4 linked regions of the Styela clava genome follow. The protein of the gene in region 1 interacts with the protein of each later gene in a pairwise test. Links are inferred from orthologs where the notes say so. Each region holds a gene or a part of one and is shown in the gene's direction. Other genes may lie near its edges.

Evidence for each region.
Region 2: the proteins of membrane-associated guanylate kinase, WW and PDZ domain-containing protein 3-like (region 1) and 43 kDa receptor-associated protein of the synapse-like interact in a two-hybrid assay, tested with the Caenorhabditis elegans proteins (2 studies listed by BioGRID). The link is inferred for Styela clava from reciprocal best matches to the Caenorhabditis elegans genes magi-1 and rpy-1.
Region 3: the proteins of membrane-associated guanylate kinase, WW and PDZ domain-containing protein 3-like (region 1) and alpha-adducin-like interact in a two-hybrid assay, tested with the Caenorhabditis elegans proteins (2 studies listed by BioGRID). The link is inferred for Styela clava from reciprocal best matches to the Caenorhabditis elegans genes magi-1 and add-1.
Region 4: the proteins of membrane-associated guanylate kinase, WW and PDZ domain-containing protein 3-like (region 1) and catenin beta-1-like interact in a two-hybrid assay, tested with the Caenorhabditis elegans proteins (2 studies listed by BioGRID, with this or other methods). The link is inferred for Styela clava from reciprocal best matches to the Caenorhabditis elegans genes magi-1 and hmp-2.

What each region holds. Positions count from the first base shown.
Region 1 is NC_135257.1:12,831,194-12,838,277, forward strand, and holds the start of membrane-associated guanylate kinase, WW and PDZ domain-containing protein 3-like, read left to right. Parts: upstream 1-4,076; 5' UTR 4,077-4,128; coding exon 4,129-4,292; intron 4,293-5,298; coding exon 5,299-5,429; intron 5,430-6,823; coding exon 6,824-6,940; intron 6,941-7,084.
Region 2 is NC_135255.1:10,699,348-10,706,605, reverse strand, and holds the start of 43 kDa receptor-associated protein of the synapse-like, read left to right. Parts: upstream 1-4,249; 5' UTR 4,250-4,278; coding exon 4,279-4,634; intron 4,635-5,182; coding exon 5,183-5,471; intron 5,472-5,780; coding exon 5,781-5,918; intron 5,919-6,233; coding exon 6,234-6,455; intron 6,456-6,834; coding exon 6,835-6,888; intron 6,889-7,191; coding exon 7,192-7,258. Other genes in the region: neuronal acetylcholine receptor subunit alpha-7-like, read left to right, coding at 1-35, 705-796, 1,746-1,859, 1,983-2,064.
Region 3 is NC_135258.1:23,366,914-23,374,860, reverse strand, and holds the start of alpha-adducin-like, read left to right. Parts: upstream 1-4,936; 5' UTR 4,937-5,039; coding exon 5,040-5,084; intron 5,085-6,363; coding exon 6,364-6,513; intron 6,514-6,912; coding exon 6,913-7,039; intron 7,040-7,728; coding exon 7,729-7,755; intron 7,756-7,947. UniProt on the Caenorhabditis elegans protein: Membrane-cytoskeleton-associated protein that promotes the assembly of the spectrin-actin network. Plays a role in time-dependent memmory loss and the retention of conditioned behavior over time.
Region 4 is NC_135250.1:17,838,780-17,845,886, forward strand, and holds the start of catenin beta-1-like, read left to right. Parts: upstream 1-4,089; 5' UTR 4,090-4,193; coding exon 4,194-4,404; intron 4,405-4,733; coding exon 4,734-4,930; intron 4,931-5,286; coding exon 5,287-5,466; intron 5,467-7,107. UniProt on the Caenorhabditis elegans protein: Required for cell migration during body enclosure and cell shape changes during body elongation. Plays a role in recruitment of the cadherin protein hmr-1 to adherens junctions.

The sequences.
Region 1 (7,084 bases):
TTATTATGTCCTCGGTTCTCGCTAGCAATTATGCCATTCGTTAAAACTGTCTGTTTTTTTTGATGATGATGATTTTTATGTGGCGCCAAACTATGGCGCTGATACGAGTATCAACAAGGGTTTGCCATATTAATTCAATTATTTTCAAAGTAATTCGTCGTTGCGCCTACATACAATGAAAAAAAGGTATTTTTGCGCTGGAATATTGCAATCTGGGTGCATAAAATATATATGGTATACTATCCGATTATAATTAGAATTGATTCTCATTTTTTGCAATTGTGGTAATTTGTGCCGCTCAGGATCCTTTTCAAGATATCGCCGTTAACAAAATCTAAAGGCCAAAGATAAAATTTCACATTTTACATTGATTAGTTTTATGCCATCACCACATTTAATAATGAATAATGAGTAATGGAATGAATCAACTCCAGGTGACTACGGTAAAGTTTCCGGAAAAAATTCCGGAATTTTGCAATTTATTCCCGTCTAAAATAGAGTTCTCAATCTGTCGCGGCACTCCTAAAACAAAATTTATGGTTTCTTCTTCGTCTCAGATGATTGTATTATAAAGAGTTTTTTACACTCTGCGCACAGTTTCGGACGAAAAAAAACTTTTTATCGTCATCGCTGGCACATATCCACGGGGATACTTGTGAGATGGAAAGAATTCTCGAAAATATGGTCTACCGATATAATACCGATGTTCACGGCCTAAATACCCGCGTCATTCTGAAGAACATATTTGGCAATTTTCACCATATTTGACTTTTCGAGAGAATTCCCAATCGCCCCCCTGTCGCCCTTTTGGAATTTTTCGCCTTTTGTTTTATCTCTTTCGGCCCCAAAGCGATATCGACCCCTTTGAGAATCGCTTTTCTAGTTCATTTAATATATCTGGTAATAAAGAAAGAACACTATTCGTTGTTAACGAAGATTTTTTCGTCATTATTTTCCAACGACATACTTGATAAAAGGGATTCATAAATGAATAATGAGTTGGAAAAAAAATGATTTGACGCATACAATTTTTCAATGCTCAGTCTAGTGTAAAGTTTTTCCAATATTTATTAATTTTTGCGAGAAATTTGATGATTTACTAACGCGTTTATAAGATAAGAGTGTCTCGAATACTCCGCTGGACCGGTAACCGGGTGATAGGGCGTACTTTGCTATATGATTTATCTGCCTTATCGAGTTTACTGAAATAACATAAAATGTCCTGACATTTCTCTATATACTTTCGCAAGACGATATTAGGAATACCTGTGTGCTACTTTACATTCTGCCATTGAAAACAACCAGTTTCATAGGTTTGTCCAACGACTAACATACCGGGTTTGTCCAATTTGTCAAAATAACTCGAATCTTATCACTAGAGGCGCCATTATACTGGGCTGGCCCAAAATTAAATACAGGCTTCAAACTGGCTGTGGGTGATAGGATTTGTTGTCGAATTATGTCGTGTGATCGTCGAGGTTCGACTATAGCATATTGTTCTGATGTATTTATTGCCCAATATTTATGTAGACTACAAAAAATATGTCATGTTATGAATGTACTATTGTGACTAATCATAAAATATGGATACCGTCCCGTTATCTGTAACCCTAAAACAGTTCTTTTCTTTTCGACTGACGGATTTGAGCATACATGTCTTGAGTACTTCCTGTATATATTATACAACTCGTTCGGGCCTACTGTGGTTCTAGGCATCAATGAATAATTTCCTCCTGGTCTTATAATCCATCATTATAGCAGTGGAGTACTACCAACTCAATAGTACATCCTGTTAAAATGTGAAAACTTTTCGTATCTCTAGACTTGTTAAATCATAGTGTCCATTATAAATCAACTATTTACTCAATCATAAAATAATTATTATATTTCAATTATTTAACATTGAAAAAATCCTCTAACACAATTGGCAAACTTAAATGCCAGTTGTGTTTAGGTCGAATTGCTCTACATTTGAGACCCTTTGACTTGATATACTAATCTAGTACTATTCCCTAGAAATCATTCTCCTCCTTTTCATGTACAACTCGCCAATGATGCTTTTTATATTCATATTTTGTGATAATGAAATTACGATACTGCATTATATTTTGCTGTTACATCAACTCATACTATTATAATTATTTACATTTTTATTTATCTTTCACTTGTCTTTTTATATACTACTTTGACATCCCTCTGCAGACAAAATATTGTTGATTATTATGCTGAAATAATGCTTGTTAGGTCCTATTAACTATTTTTTTCCCCTCCTAATCTAGACAAATCAAAGCAGATCATGTTTGTTACATCTTCAATGCGTACCTATGCCATGAAATGAAGCATTTCTGCTAATTCATCACATATTGTGTATAAATTATTTAAATTCTTTCAGTAACCTTTGGAATCTCTTCAGATTTTGAAATCCCGCTCCACATAAATAAATAAAAATGATTTACTCTAGCATTCCCCTCCCCAATTTTATTCTTCCATTTTGAGAATATAATTTTAAATTCTAGAATGTTCCTCCCCAATATTTTAGTCATCTGAAACTGTGGATCTTAAACATAATAGCTTGAAGGGGGGGAGTTGACTTTGATGACCGTCTGGTCGTATCACTCCCTCCTGTCTATACCAAACAAATTTATTTCTTATTGTTATTTTTATTATTATTACGATGACTGTTATTTTTGGTTGACGAAAAAAATAAATCTCTCTCTCTCTCTCTCTGTTCTGAATACTGGAATACCAGTACTAGCGACTCTGTAATGTCAGAATATTAATAGGTTATGGTTCTGTACCTACTTCGTAATATTGTAATATAGCACTGAGCAGAAATATAGAAACTACAAAGGTCAGGATCTTGGACTGAGAGGATCCAATTTCTGAATTTACTGATTTAGGATAGAATTTTTATATTTATTCGGATAGAAAAGACATGGCAACAGCGAAATTTTTTGTGGGTTGAGATTTTTAGGGCTTTATATTTTTGTGATAAATACCTGTTTTAATTATCTTTGGGTGGATATTAAGGAATTAGGCGTTTCAGTAATGCTGTTACAGTGTTATGTGATTTCTTATTCTTTATCAGATTTATTTTTTACTATTAGTTTTGTTTATTCTTAAATTTGTTTTTTTTATCAGTACGTTTGTCAGTAGTCTTCATTTCGCCTGTTATTCAGTGTTATGGTTAAAAAAAATTGTGAATGTCAACTGTCAGTTGATAATCCTGGCTTTATTGTATTCAGCAATACCAACTTATTATGAGTTTTTTACACTCATGAATGCTCTTAACAAGGCTCTGTAGGCAGCTACTTGAATGTCAAAATATACCGGGTTTGGATGAATAATGCTATTCTTTCTTATTTAGCATGAGATGCTGTTATTTGATTATTTGTATAAATAAATAATCTTTTTCATACATTGAGTAATTTTACAAATATGATTCAGAACTTTATATTATTATAAGTCAGGGGTGGCCATCACGTCGATCGCCATGTCTCAAGTAGTCGATCATGTCATACCTCAAAAAATTGGCTTGAACCAATTCCATGCAACAGCGCCTGTTGTGTGTTTTGAAACAGGAAAAAAACAGCACTGTAACATGCGCAAAATACGATAAACCGGTACACATACATTATTTCAGTCTGTGCAAGTCCGATAGATCATATTATTATGTAACAAATGCAAGTTTAGGAATGAACATGCTGAATATCATGCGTCTTGACTGACAAACAATGCTACAATAACATCTGCAATATGGGAAAGTTATTGTCTCACTCCAAGTGTAGTGTAATATCTTTTGTTCACAGCGGTAGCAGTGACATCAGAATGCCCAAGTTTGGTCAGTCACGTAACATTTATGGTGTAAAATATTTATATTTCGCTGTTTAGATAATATGTATAATACTTAATCGACAAGTTTTTTTGAGGGATTTTCAACACTTACGAATTAAAAGTATGCAGACCGTACATCTGAATTGTAATATTTGATTAAATCTTAAATAAACGATGAAACATTCACTTCCGGGACAATTACATAATCAGAGAGCGAATTGTTTTTAACCAATTTATTTGATGCTAATATTTTTCAGTATATGCTTCTAATTTTAACTAGTATAGAAAGCCAAGATGGCTTCTGGTAAAAGACACAAACACTGGTCTGACAGAGTTCATGAAAGTGTTGTTTCAAGGAATAAGAACGGACAACTAAACTTGGTTATAAAAGGAGGTGCAGAAGAAGTTAAATTTCCTTTTTTTGGAACTGTAAAACAAGACAAAGTTATTTATCACAGGTACAATTAATTATTGCTATTTTGAATTGTTCGCTAGTGCAATAATAGAAGTAGGTTTTACATACTTCGTTTTTATACGCTGTTGTTTCTAAACCATGCATGAGTAAATATTTGAAATACTCAATATTTCAACACTAACAGTATAGTAAGTATATTATTTCTATCATCTCGTTATTTATTTTTACATTACTCGTCTACGAGTGTTATAATCATAGCATCATGATTCTCTTTTGCCAAAGCATTAATTTAAAGTTTCTGAAAACATTCACTTAAACAGAATTAAAAAGTGGACTATTGGAATTATTGAGCTGTAAGCATTGCTCTCACTGATTTTTTATCAAATTTATTTATATTTAACATTATTCAATGATAAAATGAAGTTTTGTATTTAAAAGCTTATTCATTTTAGTTAAGCGCTATTTAAAATCATATTTAATGGTGTCGATTGATCTTCTCGTGTTTATGTTATGCTCACACTCGTACTCGGCTATATTATTACTTTTTTTTAGTACTGGTATGTTTGAGCATAATCAATGTTCGTTTCGGATTTTGGTATATAAATAGATTTGTGTTAAATTTCTAAATATTATGATTGCTATAAGATTTACTAGGAATACATGAAGGCTTATGTTGCCAAATACTACAACAGGTATTTTGTCATTGGCACAAGTTCTTTCCGGTTTATATTGTATGTAATCTTTAACAACCAGCTGTTGTAGTTTATAAATGTTAAAATAGAATAATGAGAAGGTTATTTTTGGCAATTACCAGTGGTTTTCTCTTGTAAATTTTACCTTCTTCAAGCACTTTATCCGTTTTTTTTATTGAAAATTTAGTAAATACTTAAATAGGTACTTGGTATAAGCCTTATTTTATATCAAGTATTTGTATTAATATGTGTAATGGTGTGGTGTAACCTGTTTATTAAATAGAGTCAATGGTATTTGTGAAACTATGAATACGCATGTCTCGCTGACATGTTAACGACTTCGCTTCTTTTCTTCAGTGGAAAAATTCAAGATGGTGAAGTCCTACTTGAAGTCAACGATCAGTCTGTAGCAGGTCTTACGCTATATGATCTCAACAACTTAATTAAACAAGCCAAGGATCCTGTCAGATTTAAAACAGTGAAAGAAGGTATTTTATTATATATTGTGCGGTGCATCGTATATTTTGGTACCCCCAGCAAAGTACACTTTCACTCTGAACTGGAAATATAGAGGTTTTGTGATTAAGGATGTCTGTCAACAAATTCAACTTTGGGTTATCTGTGTATTCAATTGGAAAAAATTTAGATAATTCAAAAAAGCTTTTTACTAATTAAATTACGGTACATTAGATTTTTTAGAGGAAATGTTTTGAAAAAATATCAGTTATCTTTTTTCAATCTGAATATATTTAATATTTTTCTACATTTATGATTATGAATTGAAAAATAATAAATTACAAGTAAGACTAGTTCTCCATTTTGTCTGCAATTGAATAAAATCTATGTTTTGGTTGTACAATATTTTATTTTTTAAAGGGAAAAGTTTTAAAGGAGAATATTTTCGGTTATCCTTAAAAACAAAAGTTTTAATAAGTTTGAATATGGTTTCAAATATATTCAAGCACTTACCGTAATTCATTTTGAACCCTTCTGACTAAAATACAGTTGCTTTAATAAATATGAAATATTGATTCATAAACTATTGTAAATGGAATTTGGAGAATGTCAAAAAAAAATGTTCGGAATAAATTTTAATTTTTTTTTAAATATAATTCAATAAGGTTCTATATTAAGACTCTTGCATCGCCTTCTTTTATGTCGAATTCTGTGTAACTAAGTAATAGATAATATCCATGTTTTTTTGCAAAGCAGTATAAGTACTCTATTTTTACATAGGTTATGCATATGTCTAACTGAAACCAATATTCAGATTGTCACTACTAGGCTTAATTGAGCATGAAGAATGTTTTGTATATTATGTCTTACTGTTTTGATAAGCTGGTTATACAACGTTGATTTCATAGCCTATTAGTTGAAATCAGATTTGACTTGTACACTCTTTTCATATACATCCTCAACATGGATAAATCTTTAGCATACTGTAACTCTTGAATCAATTTTTATTATAGGAAGTATATATTACACGCATTTAAAAAGTAATTGGATTTTTGATTGCTATTGATTATTTTGTTGTTGTGTAATCTAGTTAATATGGTATGTACCGCAAATCCAAAGTTAAAAAATAAAAGAGAATCAAGGACATTTCAGATTATTTACTACTATAATAATAGGAAGGATAAAAATGTCACTGAGCTATGGAACCATTAGAGCCCATGCTTGAACAACTTATAAAAGAGATTTCAACCAGCCATAACCATTCTCTTTACACATGATCACAAGGAAACCAAATGATATTGGCATGTTACTAATCTAACAGTCTTAGTTTATGGAAAGCACATTAAGTCATACAATAAATATATTTATCAATGTATGACTCTTCCGACTCTTCCTTTCATTTCTCAACTTCTACTACCCTATTCAGGTCAAACTTTAACAAAAGATCTCAAGTTGTATTTGAGTGAAAGGTTTCCACTTGGAGCGGTTGATCATGATTTACAAGCTGCAATCAGAGATAATCTGTATCTAAGGACACTTCCATGTAAGTAGAATTTTAATCTGTCATGAAACTAATCTCTAATATGATTTCCTTGTATCTGTGTTTTATTTGGTAATGTTGGGAGAAAGTTGTGCATAGGAAGTCTTAGATTTACTTCTATGAATTTAAATTGTAATTTTCTTTTTC
Region 2 (7,258 bases), on another chromosome or scaffold:
TGGGGAACGGGACTGATGAACTCCCATTGATGAAGGTTAGAAAAATAAAACTATTATATTTATATGGCAGGGCGTGTGTTATCATATTTTTAACTTCTCATTTAATATAACTGGAAAAAGGACTGCCCTGCTAAGCCAAGAGTTGTGTATAAAATTTTATAAAGTATACGACTCAACGATGGGTGGGAGGTAAACATAGAACACGGAAATATCGTTCGTAATTAACTTTTTAATGAAATTTTCCCTTAATATTTTGGTTTATTTTTTGTGTTTTTCACCATATCAGTGATCATGTTTACATAATTCCGGTAGCTGATTATGCATCATTTTCATGCCTATTACATCGGCCTAACCTCAAATGTAATCTCTACACATAATGAGTCACATTAGTCACGGTTTAATTAATTCCAGGTGTCTTGAAACATGAAATTCTAGGAATTCAGGAAATCTAGTGGTGATAGTGCATTACAATGAAAAGAATAGTGTAGAAATATTTCATTTCTAAAGTGACATTTAATGATAATTTTCGTAAGCGTAATAAACCTGTGTTATGTTCATGCATATTCATACTTCGATATATTTTTGATAACCTTTCTACAACATAAGTCAAACATAAAAGGACAAATCAGGTCACAAAAAGTTCTGTTCACTCATTGAGGTTGGTGAATATGTCTTACAGTATTTGTTTATATGTAAAATCGCAGGTGGGCGAAAGGCTTGGTAGTTTTCAAAATGATTTTCAGCAAAACAAGGATCCGAACACAGTGCTGGCGATGCAGCTGAGGCATTCGGAAAAGTAAGTGATAACATCTCTTTCAATTTCATGGTGGCCTGTTAATCAACAGATTCATTTTCAAAATATTATGAATCTCAAAATCTGTTTTGTTGTGACGTTCAATTTCGAAATCGTTGACAGACATTCGACACTCTCAATAAAATAGAAGTTAACAAAATTGAATCTTTGAATAATCTACATTTAGTTAAATGAAAAAGAGCATTAGTTGAGACGTCGGTATTTACTGCGAAATCGCTGAAAATGTTTTATAGATTATAATAATCATACCTATCGGTCGATTGAGCTTGTAAATAGACATCGTCTCAAGAAATGAATCCAACATTGTTTATGCATTTTTGAATACGAATTGAACCTATGAGTCGTTATATTATCTGTGCTGTTGACCTGTTGTTAGTATTCTTTTTTTTTAAATTGCCTCTCTCGTTAACTACTGGTCCGATTGCTTTGAAATATACCGTGGTTTAAAATCGTATTACATTTATATATATATATTTCAAGATTTTGTGGCACTATGTGATTTGTTATTCACTTTCAAGTTTTGTGTGATGACCTCATCAAAATTAAAAATTACACACCTAGTCGTGGTTCGGTGATCGCATTCAACAATCTAGTGGTTAGACTACCGGTACTGTAAATGATTTGATACTACTTCGTTTCGGCTTCGGTGCCTATGTATTTAAGCATTGCTCTATTGTTTTCTTCTGTTCAATTTAAGTTTGGGTATTACCTAGAAAAATTACAGATCTTAATTTACTATGTGAATATAATCAATTAACTACGTTTGGTAGATTTACGGTGTCGACATTCAAATTCAATACTACTGCTAGTTAGCACCACGTAGCTATCCATATGGCATAGGATGACGGTATGTGAAACTTAACCATTGTACGGTTATGGAATCAGTGAAACGTTTACAATGACAAATTCCTTGATTATTTTTTTCATTCAGGCAAATAACCAAAATGTGTGGAGACTTGCATGACATTGTACAAAGCATGAAAGACGAGGAAGAAGATGATGTTGTCGCTGTAAAATGGAGATTCGCAGCCCGTGTTATGGACAGGTAAATTACAAAAATCTTTTATAGGATAAATCATGTCTACTTATTAAATTGAAGAGGATTATGCAGATGGAAAAAATCATTGGTTCTGACAAATGATTCAAACTTCTTGAAATATATTTTCAGATTTTGTCTCGTCTTCTTTATACTGTTCTTCCTATTGTCAACTCTCTTTACTGTCGGAATGCCTCCAGCGCACACAACCTAAATATTGAATAATTACAAGTGAATGAGAAGCTCGGAAAAATATTTCAAAACTTTTTCAATTGAAAACACTGACTCTAAGCACTTTTGATCCAATTGAAACTTTGATTCTGAGTGTAATTTATATGATTGTTAGTGATATGTTTATGTAGTATTTTGCAACATCTGTGGTTTTTTTGCTTGACCTTCTAGTGCCTTCTAAAATACCTAACTATTTTTAGTTTTTTCTTGCATTGCTTGCATTTTTCTGTCGTGTGCCAAGTTCGACATTTGCAAGGTCACTGCAAAATATTGTGTTTCTGTGTAGTTTGGACTTTAGGCTTTATATATGAAATGAAAATGGCCTTATATACGGTTGCATTTGAAGTTGTATATATATTATATTTACCCGGGGAGTCTGTAAAAATATTGAATGAATAAGCATTTTTCTTTGTAATATTTTGAACTAATTTGGAGTCGTGTTTAATGAATACCCAGGATAATCAAAAATATAATATTTATCAAATTAACAATTGTTTGTGAATAAACCTATTAAAAATATTCCATTTGAAATTTCAAAATCTCGTTATTCAATCTTGAAAATTAAGTGACTTACATAAGTGTTCATAATGATGGAAGAACCAGAATACCACAAACCAGAATATCTTACAATCATCACTTGATAACATTTTTTAATAGCACACTTGATAACTTGAATCTTCATAAACAAACGTGGGATGCGTTAAATATTACTTAATATACTTTGACATAAAACAGATTTGTTTTCGGCGATAGAGCTCTTCATCCTTCAAAAGTGTTTGACACTTATCTAAACCCCATTAAACCATTAGAAACTGAAAACATGTTCAATAATGTTTCATCATTTATGAACTTCAATACCCCTGGCGATCGAACAATTTAGTATGACGTCATGAAAATATTTGGATAGTAAGAATGTATATGATGTAATTGGTAAATTAAGACATTCTCCGCTTAGGGATACAACCTACGAGGGATTAACGTTGAGAGGAAAGCAAGAGTTAGCTGCAGAATATCGGACACAGGCAAGTTGAAAATCAGTCAAGGAACAAGCCTTTGCAAATAGTGATAAATAGTTAGTTTGGTTGTTTAATATTCGATGGGCGCAATGGACGGCATAATAATATAATGCGAATAGCAGCCATGCTGATAGTATTCCTTATTTAGTTTTTGATTTTTATGTTTATATTATTTAAATATTGATTTATTTCACCATTGAATTATATCTAACGAAAGATACTCGTTACAGATGAACAAGGAATTGCAGAAACAGTGAATAGATATTAGGTTTTTCACGACTCCGAGTCGGTGATATCAATATCAATATTAGCTTCAAATTTATCTTCAATAAGGTTGGTGTCAACAAAGGATACTTTCTTGGAGCTTTTATCCTTCAAGTTGAAAAGTTCGAATACTCTCAATTTCTCATATATACTTGCTTTCTTACATGAAACGAAACAGTTCACAACATTTCTTTGAAACATTTCCTTCCTACATGACGCCTTATGCAATCTACTGACGCCATGGAATGTCATTACCAAGGTGTTAATGGATCTGAAATCGTTTTGGTATTAACATTATTAATAATGGGTCACGGCCGCATTTCACTTCGAAGCAGAAACACGAACAGTGTCGAACAATATTTCTTGTCTGTCTTTGAGCTACCGCTATACTGGCTAAATCTCTCGGGAGTATGGTTGCGGAATAAACTCAGAGTGACGACAATTTATATAGGATACCTTCAAGTAGAAATTCCGTTTGACTGAAGTACGTGTGCGTTTATTAGTCATAGTTGGAGTTAAACCGCTGTTGGTAAGCACCAGTTACCGGTAAATATTTTTTATTTACGGCTAGTACAATGACAGCTGTATAAAACATTTGACAAACAGATGAAATTATTAGCAAATCGTATATGGATTTCTAAAATACGAGTAAAATCGAACAATGCTTAAGAAATCTACAATAGATAAAATGTTATGGAAAAGGGTGTTTGTAGCTCATAATAACGAGATTTGTGATTTGCGTGTACAGTATAGTGCAGCTACAGTATGTACAGCTTTCCAATGAAAATTCCGTTCAAATTTCAAATAGCACATTCGATGCAGCTTTTATATTCACAATTTACCGGAATTTCGGTCTTTATAAAACAAATTCATTTAATTCAATTCTAGCAAAAATAAAAATAGATTCCAATATAGATATGGGGCAGAATAACGGTCATCAGAGTCGAAGTCCGAATGATGCAAAATTAGAAAAACAGTACAAAGAAGAATTGAAAAATCTGATCGATGATGGAGATGGGACAGCAGCAAAACATTGGCTGAAAGACATTTGCAGAAAAGTTCGCAATCCAAAAGAAAGATGGAACGTGCTTGGATATGCAATCAGAACTGTAGAAGGATGGGGTAGATACAGAATAATGTTGGAAATATCAGTCAAACAAATCGAAATAGCTCAAGCTATTAAAACAAAATGTATTCAGTCGGACTTTATGGGTGGAGAATCACTCGTAAGCATCAATACAACTCTTGCTGACTCGTATTTAAATTTAGCAAGGTAAGTAGTACGTATTCATTTTCATTAGCCTATGCCTATATAACGAACATTTTGTCGCCACGTAAGACAAAACAAAACTGGCATCGACTCGAATGAACGAAACTACTTCTTTGATAAAAGATAAACTAGGATTGATTTTAAAGAAAATCTTTTGCTAGCAATGTTAGATGTTTACCGGATTTTCGGATTTCGGTTATTAGACCAATTTGCTTTGGATGAATAATTACTTCAATATAACGAATGAATATAATCATTAATTATAGAATCACCAATAGAATCTACTCAATAATCTGACATCATAGTCGTGTATTTTTCCTATAAATTCATTTATTTAAAACGATGTTGAGAGTATATAATCATATAGAATTTGGGGACCGGTTTTTCATCTAGTTTTCAATTGGAGAAATAGGTTGCATTTTTCTCTAATTTATCAAAGGCAGAATTAGTATAAGATATGTTGTTGAATTTGTATTTTTTTCTCTGAATTTAGGTATCGTATTTTGCTTTTCAGACCTAAAAGAGTAGTAAACAATCATTTAATTTTCCAGGGCTAACTTGTGGCTGTCAGAATTTTCAAAAAGCGTCGATTATTGCTTGAAAAGTCTGACATTCATTGCCAAATGTAGAGGAGCCAACAGCGAAGTAACGTTACGAATAACAGGAGAAATCCATCTATGCAGAGGAAGTGCACAACTTCGTTTAGGAAACCACAGAAAAGCTTTAGAAGATCTAGAAAGATCTTTGAGTTTGGCAAGTTCTCAACAAAACACCGATTTGGAATGCATGTCATGTTGTGCTCTTGGGCGTTTTTATGTTAACCTGAAAGATTATGAAAAGGTGGGAAATTAAATATAATACATGCATTTTGAAATGCGGATAAAACAAATATAAAGTGAAATGGAAGATAATTCAACGTAGATTTTTCTATCAATGAATTGCTTCGTTGTGAACATTATTAAATTGGATCACTATTTTTTCTACGATTTTCAATGAACACAGTCTATCAAGTTTTTATGTATAAAATATTGGAATAAACAGAAAAATATGTATTTTTCATTATACCGATTGATGTTTATGTTTCATTTGCTTTAGGTAGTACTGATTTAGAGTTTTACAAAGCATGACAACAAAATTATTTTTTTACAGGCCACATTTTTTCCTCTGAAGGCGGCAGAAATTTTGGATGAAAAAGACAGCCCACGAAACAGAACGTTCATTCAACTACATTTGGGAGAAGCTTACAGAAAAGTCGGAAAATTGGAAGAAGCGATGTCCTGTAGTGAGGTACCAAATCAATTGCAACAGAATTCACACAATCGACTTCAAAAAACAGACAAGCGCTCCAAACAAGGAAAATCGCAGTTGTCAGAATAGGATATTTGTATATGGGTCAAGTAACAAAATATATTGCAGTACAATCTTCCACAATTAGAATGATGAATATATGAATGATGAATATAATATTTTTAAATGTTTATAGGGTTTTCTGTATGACACTGGTGAGGTGGACATCTGATTATAAGAATTTTATCGCATGATGTTGAAGCTACAATTTCAATTTAATACGTATTTTTTTCAAATATTTTATTTTATTGTCAGGAAGCTCTGAAGTTTGCAATTGAAAGCGGTGACAGAGGTTCGCAAGCTTATTGTTTGTTGTGTTTTGCTGACATTCATCGAACAAGGAAAGATCCAGAACGCGCATTACCTAGGTATGAATCCGCTGGCTCAATGATGCGAGAAATTGGTGATCGTTATGGTGAAGTGAAGGTTCTGGTTGGCAAAGCCAAAGTGCATATAAAGACTAAAAATTATGGAACAGTAAGTTCTTAGATGCTATATAATTCTGATATTTACAGTTTTTTAGCAGGTAATTGGTTTTGTAACAATGATATAATTTATTACTTTCGTATGGTTTTATGATCTCATGCGTTCAGCACACCCCAATTTTTCTATATATATATATATATATATATATAGTTTTGATTCCAGCGTGATAGTTTTACCTCAAGTATACAAAATAGTACAGATATGGTTATGAATCGTTTGTGTTAGGTTAGCCTGGATAGCCATGCCATGTACAATCTTTAGGTCTTCCAACTTCAATGAATTAATCTCATATAGAGTTTCCCAGGCAATATCTGATACTATGGAAACTAGAGGTCCAATCAATTCTCACTTCAATACTATATCATTACAGGCGATCCAACTATATGACGATGCTCTTAAACTATCACAAGAAATTAAGGCAAACGTAAGTGCAACGTTTCTCTTGGCGTAACGAATTTTATATATAGTATATACTGCGTTAAAGCTCGGAATAATGTTTAATCTATATATAACAGTATTCAAATTGATGAACGTTGGCACCTTTTTAAATTCATTAAATGGTGATCATTACATCAGCACTAAATATTGATCTACACTTCAGCAAAAACTCATTTATTTTATTTTTATCTGTTTTTTATACTAACGACAAAGGTTAATTAAGATGCTTTACTTTCAAGATACATTGATATATATGATGATTTTTATTATTTATGTTATCTTCCGCTAGATGGAAAGCATGAGCATTTACGGAGAGCTGGCCGTGGCGCAACAACGTCTAAACAATTTACAAGAAG
Region 3 (7,947 bases), on another chromosome or scaffold:
CACAGCCGTAACTCTGATATCAAATATCTGGTCTCGTGAAAGAGGTCTAATTTTTAAATTATAATCTTCAGAAGGTTCTTCATGAATGGCTCCTCCTGCGACACCAAACCGAATTGTTCCATGACCTATTGCCTTTTGTTTCAATGATTTTACAAAATTACGTCTTACCAAAGAATGGTTACTGCCACCATCAAGAAAGAAATTTGCCTTGATCCATGTTTTGTCACTCGCCTGCACTTCTGCAACAAGTAATGGAGAATAATCCAAATTAAAAGCGCTCAATTGTGTTGAATGCATCTGAGATTGGTTGAATACTGCTGCATTAGAGTGAATATGTTGACTTTCCAAATTCGAATCGTTTATACCAGAATTTCTCATTGTATTGTAATTTCCCTGTACTTTTCCGGGACATAATGACCAATGATGCGGTCTTTGGTTACAATTTACACAGCTATCGGCTGTTGTTCTTGCACAATTTCTTGCAAAGTGAGTTCCTAGACATATAAAACATCTTCGATCATCTGCTATAAAGTTTTTTTCTTTCAGGAATTGATAGGTTTTGATATTTGTTGCAGTCTATAAGGCGGTGCTGAATTCCACATTCAAAAATACAAGTGACTGTCCTTTGACGTGGCTGAACTGAACCCATGTTATCATTCTCGTCTGTAGTATGATTAACCGTATTGAAATTAGATCTTGGCGACTGGTTTTGTCTCGGTCGAAACCTCATATTCTCGGTTTGATTGATAAAGTTACCAGATATTTCCAACGCTGTAGCTTCAGATCTCAGAAAATTCGTTATAGATTCCAAGTTATGATTACCTTTGCTGGAACTATTATATCGCAGTGCAGTGTCTGCATCTAGACACTCTAATGCTCTATTGACAGAAATAACCGAGTTTGCATCCTGTTTTAACCCAAGATCTTCCATACGTCGGCAGAAGAGAGAAATTTCGTGAGTTAGTCGCCTAAGGTTCGCTGGATTACGAGAGGTCTTATATAAAGGTTTTATTTGCTCGTATTGCTTGATTACTTCACGTTGAACTACTGATTTAGGAATACGCTCTTCCAGGCGTTCCCATACACTTGAAATTGATTTACAGTCACATATCATTGTTTGATAATCGTTTGGCATTGCACCATTGCGTAACAGTCATGAAATTTGCACTAAATCATCCGTAATTCTTGCATGGTGCATTATATGTGTAAAACGTTCTTTCCAGGTATAAAAGTCTACTTTTTGTCCGTTCCAGCATGGCGGATGCATACCACATAACTTAATCATAGGAGGATCATTATTATAATTGTTTTGAGTGGTTACAAGAGATGATATCTCCGGCTTTATATCTAGTTTGTCTTCATATTTCTCAAAATCGATTGCAATCTTGTTTTCCACACGTAAAATTTCTTCACTAAATTTGGATATAACGGGTTTTTCCTCACTTTGTGTAGTACTGTCTTCTTCAATTAGAGCCAATTCCATAGTATCAATTAGACAGACCAAAAATGCTATTTTATCGTTAGCATCATGAAACAGTATTTTGACCTTTTCAAAATCTCTTCTTTCCAGAGAGTGCTCAAATCGTGTTAAAATTCTTTCCAAATTTACTTTTGAGTACCGGAAACTTACTCTTGAGTTGTTTGAAATTCTGACCTTGAAAATATTCTGACATTGTTAGTTGGCATTCTTGCTTTGATGTATTGCTGAATCCTCGAAAGGTTGAAGAAGAACTGCTTGATTCAGACTCCAGTTTGTAGGTGTAGGTGCAGTATCATTAAATGTCACTAGTTTGGATTTCTGCCCATTGACAAATCACCCTTGCCTACTATGTCTCTTTAACTAATATCCCAAAATGAAACGAATAGATTTCTCCCAAAGTGATTTAATCCAGATATCAGTAAGACAAAGTGACCTGACAAACAATAAAGATGAATATTAAAATGAGTACAGGCAACCAGGCACAATACAAAGCAAGAATATACCAATTCACTTACATTTAAATGAGGCTTTGTCAGAACAGATTATCCCAATGTAAGGAACTTATGAAATAGATTATTCATACCCAATGACTATAGCACCATTAACAAGCTTATGAGAACAGATCTAAAGACAGACTAAAGCTCTAGACAGTTAACCATAACAAGAAGTAATCAAGTAATCAGCCAATAATCGCGATGCAGTGAACTATACGTAAACACACCAAAAGTAAGTAGTACCAAGATAAATCAGTCAAATGTTCAAACCAGGCGGGCATTTTAAGTCGTTACGCGGGACGTAATTGCCCCACTGTTTGGGAACCCCTGATCTACACTGATAAATATGCCATATATATTCTATATAATTAATTAAATACAACCGAGTTGGGAATTACAGAATGGAATCGCACCTCAAAATTAGTTGGGGTGTTTGAAAAATAGGGTGTGTGTGTGTGTGTGTGTTCACCCCCTATAGCGGGGGGAGGGGGGTGTAAGGAAATCGCTGCATGGACTTGATGGTGGAGGATGTTTTAGCATGGTGCTACTGATACCGCAATACATGCATAGCAATCGGTTACACGTTGACGGAAATAGAGATGTTTTCGGAAGACCGACAAATCGATACAGATTAAGGAACATACGGTACCCTACCTCAATCAAAGTTAGGATGCGACAAAAACAAGTTCTAGTATGTAGGCTATACAAGCTAATTTCAAGCGCGGAAGCGAGGATCGTCGATTCGAGTTACCGGTACTGAATTCTGGAATTATAGGACAGTATAAGCAAGTCACAGCAGTTCAGGCAATCTTGGACATTTTTAATATATTATATGACATTATAATTTATCATGTTCTTATTGATAGAATTCACTGCAATAAGGTGGATAGGTAGGAACGCTTCTAAAACAATAACCGGTACCGTACCGGTACGTGGTACCGTACCGGTATGGGGTCTGGTACGGTACCGGTATAGTTTAGTACCCACATGCACTTCTAGTTGGCCTGGCTCAACTATTTTTGCATATGTCAATCCTAACCTCTACCTGACTACGTCACCGAAAAATTAGGTCATTTCGACGTCACAGTGGCGTAATAAGGCCCACCAAAGCATGCGGAAGGTAGTCCAAAACGCGCAGACGATCATCCGAAATCGAGCAAGCTATTTCTCTCGTTTTTTCGTCACAACGATCCCGATAGGAGAGAGATCGCCGACGTTAAGCGAGTTCGTTATCAGCGGCGCAGATGCCATTTCGGGCGATCGTAATTATACTTTGACAAGCCCTATGACGTGATGATGACGTCGTAGTGACGTAATTTTTGGATGGCATACGGTAGTCAGGTGGGGGTTAGGAATAGCATATGCAAAATTCGTTATGCTATGCCCACTGGAAGTACGGTACTTGTGGTAGACTACCGGTACCAAACTATACTAGACCCCCAGGCATGCAGGTACAGAGGTATGCTCGTAAACTAAGTTGTACTTGTTACCCATTCAGGCTGGCTGCATTGAATTGAAGACTAATTACAGAATTAATTGTCCTGACTGCGACTGACCTTCAAAAATAATTTCTCATGTTATGTCTGATACAGATGTAGAAAGCACTATGAGAATAAATTGTGAGAAAGTTTGGCTATAGGTCAAGCAATAAGCTCACGGTACTACGGTATCTGATTATGGTACAATCTGACAATAGACAGATAGAATGGGAAGATCATTTGGCGCGGCAGTGTGGCTCAACGGGCTAAGCGTTAGGAATACGCTCGCCACCACACCTCTAATTGATCTGCGTGGGTTCGCATCCCATGCAGGGATGGTTATGTGCGAGAGGATTGCTGGACTCCTCGCCGTCGTTGGGTGGTTCACATAACCGCTGAACTTCTAACTATTATACATGTGTCCATCTGCCCATTCACGAAGTACATTGTTAATGCTGAATATCTTTTGCTCTTTATACCTAACAGTCGGTTACGGCTTCCTCCACCACCAAGTCCATGATTCCGAAAACAAACAATCTAACTAATCCCATACCCGACTTGGAATGGTAACCGGACGAGAGGTCGTGGTTCGCCATATGGATAAGCCATCTTATTGGCTTTCCTCTCCCCCCCCCCCCCGGGATAAATATGTAAATCCTATCCTATCATTGATAACCTGTTTACAGTACGGAATGTCTGAATGTGTATGGAAACTATTCACTGCAACAATACTACAATATGGCACTGTTCTCCGATTCCAAGAATGGCCCCAACATTAAAATACATTAATTATAATAGTGAGTGCAAACTCTTCCTTCACTAGATACAAACAGGCATTGCACAACAAAACAAAAACACAATTTTGGTCATGTGCCTGCGACGCAGATCACAAAAGATTTAATTTATTTTCGAGACAGCGTGGCACAATCTCATGTTGTGCCAAGCGTCCTAGTTTCAGACACAAATAGAGTGTTTGTTTCATTGAACCAAATGTCAGAATGTTGGGACATCTTGGAATCGGAAAACTGTGCCCTATTGTACTATGGGAAATAATCTAAATTTTTTATGACGTATTCATCCTTGAATGCGGTACATAAAAAAGAATCGTAGACAGATACGATATTAATTCATGCTGAGAATGATAAATTTCTAATTGATAAAATTGGTAAGTGAACATTTGGTTTCTTTCTATAGTAAACAATTTGATTTGAAATCCATCTGCTTAATTGTCATTAAATGTGATCATATTACTGTATTATGAAAAGAATGAAATGAACTGTATGTATTCAAATAAAATATAACCAGAAACATAGACAATTTCGTGGCTCGCATGAGGATGGCACATCTTATCAATACAGTAATATGTAATAAGTTTCATCCAAATCAAATGTGCAATGTAGTGTGACTTTTGTTGGGTTATTCAGACTCTTTCGCTAATTGATATAATGCACCCATTCATTTTCGCTTGCTAACTTTTTAAACAGTTTTTTGTAGTGCACGATGCGTGGCAAGTAGTATTTAATGTACTCATTTTGAAATTTAATGTGTCTAGTTATCTGAAAATTATCAGTTCGAAATATCAATTAAATGGCGATGAAAAGTCCTACAAGAACCAAGCAATCTCATAGAGAGGTATTTATTGGATTTTTCTTTGGTCTGACCTATAGTTAAAATATGGTATCTGAGTAGTGGATCATAAAACTTGAAATTTGTTTTAGTGAGGCATGAGTGCTTTTCTCTTAATACAGTAATAATATGAATTGTTAATGAATGGCCTTTGGGGGGTTGTCAGTTGTAAACAAAATCAATAGAAGTACTTGTGATACTAAACTACACTAGACCCCATAATTTAATATATTTCAGTGGCAGAGTACCGTATATGCTCGTTTTTTTAGGGCCCGTTTGAAAAGCCGCCCATGTGAACAGAACATAAAAATAAATAAGGGCCGGTGCTTGAATGTAAAAGCTGATTTTTCAGTGGTAGAGAATGAGAATGAGTGGTAGAGATGTAAAAGCTGATTTTTCAGTGGTAGAGAACAATAGGAAATAAGAAGCGCTTTTGTCACAACGCTGTTGAATTTTAAGCACCTGTAGATAACACTCACGCCTTAGGCGTCCAAGTACATAACAGATAGCATTGATTACGTAACACCATGGTTCTCAAACTGGGCGTCGCGACGCCCAAGTGCGTCGTTTCAATATTGATAGGGCGTCACAAGACTTTTCTTCTTTTGCGGATTTGTACCTGCGGTGCGTAGAAAAAGTCAAAATTTTCATTATTCTCGTTTGAATCATACTGGAACTGGAAATAACAATGTATTAATTATTGTAACGATCGAAAATAACGAGCGCCCGTCTTGAATAAGGGCCGGTTTGGATAAGGGCCCGGTTAGTGAGTTGGTTGAAAAAAATACGGGCCCGGGCTACAAAACGAGCAAATACGGTATGTTTGTTTTCATGATTTACAAATCTTGAAAGGGTGGCACTTGTCATGTTTGTTTACTCAATTTATAAAGTTTTGATAAGTACTGAACTATATGTGTATGTGAAGAATTCAAAATATAACACTCAGTGATGACCCACATGAAGTGTAGGCTACTCAATATAGTGAATGCTCGACTCAGTGATAATTTAGAACAGTGGTTTCGAACCTTTCAAGAAATAAATTCGAGGAAATCTTACAACCCTTGGTATTATCAAATAGTATTGAATGGCATGTAGTGCTTCTATGGCCAGCTTCGTCCCCGATCCAAGCTGGAACAATAAATTAGTAAATTAATTATTTCTGCTGTATCCAAGAAAATGGCCACCAGACGAAGGATCATGGTTCGCCATGTGATTGAGTCAGCTTAACTGCTTTTGTCTCCCCTAGAATAAATATAAACGAATGGTTTTCTATTCCTATTCAAAGATGCTTGATCCTCAGTCTCCAGGAAGTCATTCAGGTGTTGATATCGAAGCTGAGCTGGGAATACATCCTGTTAGAAGGCCAACAGGAATTGATCAAGATGTCAATGAGCTAGGACAGCAGAAACGAGTTTCATCTGTATTAACTAGTCCGGTAAATTTACTTATTTTTAGTTGCTATGTGACCTTTATTTTGTATCAAATTGTAGTGAAGATAACTTAGTTTCTTGTGATAATCTATATTTTATTCAAGTTTTTTAGTTTGTTTGGGTTTATTTTTTATTAAAGAGCTAACATCGGAGTTTTCATTCAAGTCTTTAATGTGCAATCCATTCTCATTTTGTTTCTCTTTTAAGTATTATTATACAAGATCCAACTATGAAATCAAAGTAATATAGATTGAGGGTTAAGTTTTTTAGATATATATGGTTTTCGCTTAATTTACGCATGATCTCACGATTATGACTTTGTAAATGTTAACAGTGAATATTCATAGCGAGTGTCAATATTAGCTCACGTAATAATTGAACTGTGTTATAATTTTCTTCAATAGGTGTTCAAAGAAGAACTTGAAACTGTAGTGACTGACTTATTGCGTTCTGGTGATGGTGGAGGTCACGTAATTGCCAAGGAAATTGCAAATATGTTGTCGCCGATGAGCAGATCTCAATATAGTCTGGGTAATTTATTTAATTATATATCAGTTCATGCATGGTTTTAGCCATTAGGGCTATTGCTGTTAGTGCTTCTTGATGCTATGTCATCCAATCCTGCCTTGATATATAAACCAAGAAATTTTTCGATATCTCTATTAAAGGAAAGATTGATTAACAATAGTATTTCCCAGAAAAAGACTAACAAATATTAACAGCTATACTGACTGCTTTCTATTTGTAATTGTTATTTTAGCATACTTTTAAAACATCCTAAATTGAAACTACAAAATATTATTCTGCTTAAAACATAATTTGTCTTACAAAATCTTTTGTACCGCTCAGTCTCGGCTCACTATTTTTAATGGTCGTGCAATAAAAACTCCCCTTCTAAAACACAGTTGGGTATTGCACAGGCGCTAATAAGCAGGCTTTCCTCCATGCCAGTTTAGAATTTAGATGTTTTGCAAGTTGTTACATCACTACTAAGTTTATTATTCAGTTTCTTTATTGGAGTAAATTTTGTTCAACTTGCTTTGTAAAACCAATTCCTAATATGTTTTATGATTAAACGCAGTGTTTGAACCGGTGCTGCTATGCATTACATATTTACAATATTTAAAGTTTATGTTCTTTGCTCAGCTGTTCTGCTAGTAATTGTTGGTATAAATCAATCTATTCGAAGTTTTCACTTGTTTCTTCTATTACTTGTACAGGTGATGGAGTTTTCAATATGAAAACAGGTGACAATGATATTGTGTCATGTCATAATTTATTGCAATTTTGGGTTTTGCTTGCTCCAGCATTGCTATAGTAACTGGCTGTAGTATATATATTATATATTCACATAATTAAATAGTTCGATCAGTTATGTTCAATTGCATGCTCGATTCAATCAGAAGATATTAATAATAGTAACACTATTGTTAATTTTC
Region 4 (7,107 bases), on another chromosome or scaffold:
AATAAGCCTCGCTAGTATTCGAAAGTGGAACACGTATATTTGCGAGTTGACGCGTATATAAATTTATTTGAGTCGTGACACACGACACTGAGAGAGTCAGAGAGATCCCACTAGAAGCACCGTAGTGGGGCTCCCGAAGTATGCGAACCAAGATGGCGGACATCGGAATGTAATATGTGTACTAGATTAGGGTTCGGCCATAATTTTAGGTATAAATACTACGGGAGACTCTTGGCTAGTCTTCGAACTGATAATAGGACTAAAATAAGGAAAATTGAAAAAAAATTATCGCCTAACCCTAACCTGTCACCAATGTTACGTTCCGATGTCCGCCATCTTGGTTCGCATACTTCGGGAGCATCGTAGTTTTGGTACTATGCGAGAGAGCACCATTCTGACCGAAATTTTGCCTTTTTTTTGAATATTTGTATCCTTCAATTTATTTTTAAATTGGCTTATTGATTTGAGTCTTTCACTTGTGTTCTGCTTCAGATACGATACCGGTACCTGGCTAGTATGACGTTATCAACGTAGTTTACCAAATATGGAAAATAAATGTGCTGTACTTTCTCCTGCTATAATATCACAGCCTTAGGCTAACATGATAACATTTGACGGTGATAATCAGTCAGGTGGAACCGGTGTTCCTGGGGTAAAATGGTATCTTTGTTCAGAATATTCGCCAAAACCCACCAGACCACTGACTATAAAGCTGCTATATCAACGCATTGAGGACAACCGCGGACAATAATTATTTTTTTTCAAATAAAATTTTTCGCCCTTGGGATTTCGCTTTTATGTATGTGAACACCGGCGAGAAAAGACGACGATGGTTGTCGATCGTATGTATGACACTCACAATGTTATACCTCCATTTCGGAATTGTATATTATATAGCACCATGGTTCGGTGAAGTGTAGGCGTTCACAGGGGTGGTTTCAAATGTATACTTGTACTTTTTGGTTGTATGCTGGATATATGTCGCTTTTGGCGTGTGTGAGAATGAGGGGCGTCTTGCAGTTGGCTATTATACATTTAGCGATAAAAAATTAACGGTGTTAATTGCATCTAATTTCACAGAGTCTGCTACATGCTCTTAAACGACCCGGATCAGTTTTGTTTTAATAAATGGATCAGGTCTCCAGAAAATACATAGATACAAAATTATCGGAATAATCAATAACTATGTCAGGATTTGGGAACCATTATTTTTACGTATAATGTGAAGCTTTACGTATAATGTAGAGTAGCGCTCACACTGCGCTCCCTATTCGGATCACTACTGCCGCGCATAATGTAGATTGTGGACCAGTGTTCTTCAACCTTTTTTATCGAAGTATACCTTTTACAGTTTTTCAAGAACTTTGTATACCTTACAAATACCAATGTTTATTTAAGGCGGCTCAAAATAAACAATAAATTGTAAGCACATATTGTACTGCAATATCATCATGCAATCTAATAGGCTAGCGACCGCAGGTTATAAATTTGACTGACTGCCTTAGCGTCGACGGGAATAATGTTCGACATAAATGAAACAAAGTGCATGGCAGCCGAAATCACCAACCCAGACACATGATCGTATTATCTATATAATTTGTGATGTAACAACGTGCTCACGTCGGTTCTTAGCGTTATAACATTTTATATTTCGTGTGCGGTTCCATTATTGTCTCCGATTGAATATTTTATAATTTATTATATATATTAGAGTTTAGATTTTCTGATTTAGGCTGTACACCTTTCGTATACCCGTGTCGCTCATCGGGCTTTAGGTGTATACGGTGTCAGGCTTTTCGTCTGTTTTCAGTGTGTATCTGTTTTACAGTAATTATTTTGTGGCACCTGGCCAACGTATATTCTATGTTATACGATTTGATAAGGCTTTGTTTTCCCTAAGCTAGCGATTTACTAACCCTTCTACGCATCCACAAGGTAGTATTAACTGTAACGACATCGCTTTAGCTCAGTTTGTTTGTGATCTGCGCGCTTGCATGCGTTTTCTGTTGAATATTCCTATTGCATGTTGCTCTGGCCCTCAGCAATACCATTGAGTCGGTTTATGACTTTAAATGTCTAATCCGCTGTAATCAGCTTAAAAGCTTCTAACCCCAGGCGCGGACTTGATTTATTTCGTGTTATCGATTTGCATTTAATAAGTCACTAATCGTAATCAAATCCGCCACTGGAAATGTCCGCGTTTTATTGATAACATACATGCATTTCGTGGGAATGGATTATGTTTACGAAACAGCACTTGTGTCAATCGTGTTCTGATTGACATGTAAACTAGATTTGTACTCACGCGCCAAAAGGACATAAATTCTGAGCGTTTCTGTTAAACATAAGGATAGACAGAAAGAGGTCGGGCAATAGCCTCACATAAGACGCAGAATCAGAGAAAATTAGTCGTGATGCAACAACGGGATAGTATCGGATAGAAAATGCCGAAAATGTAGGATTTCCTGCAAGATGTCTTCTATTATTGTAGGGAAGGAGAAGAACATCGTGCAATGAACTACAAGCGAACTTACGTCTGAAACAATTACAGTAATGTCAAAACAAACTGCGTGGCTGTTTCACGCACACTCGCGGAATACACACTGGGAGTTACATCCAAAGGCTGCAGCCAGCGGTAAGTACGTGCTGAGCGGATGCGGATTATACTGGTCTGTCTACAATGAAGCTATTGTTCTAATTGAAAACATTCCGTATTTAACATTTTCCTGTCGTTGTATACGAGCACAAATCAAAGCGGATATCGATACCGACAGAAGACTATATCATCGTGGATAGAAATATGTTTGCTATGAAAACGCAGGATTATATAAATCAAATTGATTCCAGCGTTACATCAATTTAAAAATGCGTTAAATATTCGCTTGAATTGAACGACAGTTGTAAATTGATTAGTGCGTTTTGATTAGAGTACAGTATTGCATATTTTGATAAATAAATATTGACATCATTGGGTTATCAATTTCACGGCTAATTTTACCGTTTCCCGTAGGAAACAGCAGCGATCGTCTTTTCAAGCTTACGATTTTTTATTGTATTGTCGCGTGAGTGTTCGGGAGGCCTAGTCACGCGTGTCAGTTTTTTCTGTGGCGAGTCAGTGGTTTTGTTTGGATACGTCATAATTTCAAGCTGCACTTGTGCGCCGTGGATGACTAATGATTGTCGCCCACAAACTTTTTCTCCCGACTCCGTTTCGCCTTTTTCTCGTCTGGTTGACGCCATTTTGAAAAGCACTCGTACGTTTCGACTGCGGTAGCGCAAGTGTCATAATGGATGTGCTCTTTCTTGGCGCTATGGGTTTTTGTATATATCTGAATATGTATGCGATGTATTATCGTAAAGGAACGGAATTAAGTAGTTTAGTTTCATTTAAGGTACAGTATCGTCGTACATTCTTGTCGAAAATTCGATTTCATTATGTACATAAAATGAAACGAACTATTTCGCGTGTGTGTGCGAACGCGTCACTCCGCCCACTCGAGTACGAGTCTACGAAATTGTCGCCAGCCCGAAAAGTGGTCAGGGAAAATTGATTGTACCGTACTTAGCTTTTGTCGAACTGCCGGGCCGAAGTTACAGCTATATACTGAATATATCAGTTAGATAGTGTAGTATTACTGTATTATTTAGAAACTTCCTTATACAGTTATAGTACGGCACCAAGCCCACCATCGCGCTGCCAAAAAATAATGTATCATGGTTTGGTCAAGTTAAAAATTTGTAGATTTTGGTTAATTTATATACGATGCTTAGTTGATATACAGGTATTCAGAAAAAACAGTGTTATGATTAACTAGCTCTCCCGATTCCATAATCAATTTTTATTTATTCGTTTTTAACAGTCATTTTATTGTTACGCTGATTATGGAGTCAAACTATACTTATACACTTATAACCCAGTCATAAATAATGACTAAATACTGAATTATTGTTTTAAGTTTGAATTTTAACAAGCGTTTCAATTTCAAGTTAAGATTTTAAATACAATTTTATTGGTATTTTTGTTGGGCCTTCTAATCAATCATGTCGGAAATGATGATAGCCCCGGGATATTCCAGTCATAAATAATGACCAAATACTGAATTATTGTTTTTAGTTTGAATTTTAACAAGCATTTTAAGTAAAGATTTTAAATACAATTTTATTGATATTTGTGTTGGGACTTCTAATCAATCATGGCGGAAATGATGATGAGCCCCGGAGATATTCCGATGGCAGATCCCAAAGCTCAAATGAACCAATGGCAGCAAGGTGGATGGGATTCTGGTATCAACTCAGGAGCAACAACTGCCAATCCATCAGTCACTGGAACAGTGGATGACTACACAGACACCGAGCAAGTTTTGCGAGAATGGCAAAGGGAATTAACCATGGAAGAAGCAAATCGTATGTTTATCAGTTTCGTTTTTAGATACAAGTAGAATCATAATGCGATATTTTTATGTAGGTACGGTATCAATAAAGTTTAATCAATTTTATATTTCTTGTCTTCTGGAAATTCCAGCTTTATTCCTGAAAATTTCAAGAAACTGTCTTATGCCTAACAATTTTACACATTTTTGACTATTTTAATGTGATCACATTTTTAAGACCATATGAAAGGCTGAAAATTTTTGTGGTGCCCTTCACAACGAAGGTGGCGGAATTGAAGTATACAGGGGAATGCGCTATTGAGTTATTTCTTATTATTTAGTATATGAAACTTTGATTTGCAGAATTGAGTGACCAATTTGCTCGTACTCGCGCCGACAGAGTTCGAGATGTTCTTTTTCCTGAAACCTCAATGGATGATGGATCCATGCAGCAGATTCCGAGCACACAATTTGATCCCAACAATCCAACTGCTGTTCAAAGATTGGCGGAACCATCTCAAATGCTGAAACATGCTGTTGTTAATATTATCAACTATCAGGTATTAAGATATAAATATTGTATTATACGTCAGTGTACCCATCAAACAAAAAAGTGTTATACAAAGAACTGAAATGCTTTACTTATGTGGCATTCACTACCTCATAATTACACAAGTGAAGGGACAGCCATATTCTATAGTTTCAGTAGATATTTGTAACTCAGTAATATATTGAAACAGTCCTAGTTCATTTAGTGTTATGATTTTCAAAACACAAGAGCCAAAGATGATGAATGTTGCTATAGATTTAAAAATACCCCAAAATTTGTGCGACCAGTAACAATCATCCCCTCTGCACATCAGAATGAATTTTAGATTGTTGCCTATGTCGAAACTAAATATCTTTGTTCCTTTAGGATGATGCTGATCTTGCTACAAAAGCAATTCCAGAGCTAACCACTCTACTCAATGATGAAGATCAGGTTGTCGTGCAACAAGCTGCACAGATGGTTCATATGCTTTCTAAGAAAGTTGCAAGCCGTCAGGCTATCATGAATAACCCTGGAATGATTGCTGCGCTTGTGAGAGCAATGCAGGTAAGGCTATTGTTGATGGAGACATCTTTCCATGAGAGGCATTTTCACAGATGAGAATCTAGTGTCACTGTGGATGGTCACTGTGGATGCCTATTAGGGCTGGGCAAAATATTCGAATAGCGAATAGAATATTAAATTATTTGAATGGCATTTTACTATTCAAATATCGGGTACCACGTGATCTGTGTCGCTTCACTCGGATACAGAACGTCTCTGAACCGAACGTGAATTGCTCGAGAATTCACCTACAATGCTCGCTAACAGACAAAAGCGACAAATTTGAAAAATTGTCTTTGCGTTGTGGTGTTATTTGTTTTCTTTGCGTTCCAATCGTTCGTTTCAACTGCCTATTTTGCAAAAAAAGATACCGACACCGTTCCCTAAATTTAGAAACGACAAATCAGATGAGGTATTTAAAATAAATATCCCAGATTTTAAACTCCGTATGGTTGGCGGCACGTGAACCAAACATAAATTTGTTTAACGAAAATTAAAATTTGAAATAACCTTTGCATGAAACCATACATAGTATAACACGCACAAGCTATGACCAGAAAAGAAATGGCAGAACATAGTTCTTTTAATGTACTTTCAATTAATTCTTTGGTGATCCCTTTCATTCTTGACCAAGTGATGTTTCGAAAATGTAATCGTTTCACTCGGTCATGCATGGCGGGTGGAGTGTAAAAATCATAACGTAAAATCAGTCGTGAATTTCGATGTAACAACGCGCACTGTTTACGAATTGTTGTATCATCGGAAATGATTACATTCGTTATATTTTGAGCATTTTTGCACTAAAATTGTGAATTACTCTGTAACGATGGATCGCGGGGTTTCTTGAAAGAAAACGTCGGAACTTGAAAGATTTAGTTATATTTAGCGCCTGGCAATCTATTAGGCACAAAAGAGCAATTTTTTTCATTCAGCATCGGGTCGCATATGTAAATTATTATTCAAGAAGCGCTGTTTATTAACGTCAACTCTTCATAGGGCTACGCAGAAATGCCTTTATTGCCGAATTATTTAGTCACCACTCACCATTTTAAATCAACATTCGAGATTGACGCAATCGCAGCTTTGCGAGGTTTATCTGTAAAGTAACATAGACACCATAGAAAAGCATAGCAAAGTTAATTTTGGTATTGTCTTAATAAATATCTGCATCCCGGTATCAATAGTAATATTACCGTTCGCTTGATATTGTGACGGTAAATTTACAAACGTTGATAAGTAATATGAAAGCCAACGCAAATGATGAAAATTAGAATAATATTAATTTGGGTTTGAAATCAATCCTTAATGGTTTTAACAGCTGTTACCGACGTGAACGCACGGGTGAACCGGAAATATAAACTTGTCCGACGACCCGAAAGAATTAATACTTGCAAAAAACAGAAAGGGCGGTAATGCCGGTAATATAGATTATATATCGCCGCAAAAACGGTCACTGTGACAAAAACGATCAGCGATTATGACGAAATCAACCAGTAAAAAAACGCTTTGTAGCCGATTTTTCAATGTCTTATTAATTTCCAAAGGAAGTATCGACCGACGTTCTGGACCTTCCATTGTGCATAAAAATATTCGTTATTCGACTATTCGATATTCGTTAAAAATATTCGAATTATTCCATTCGAA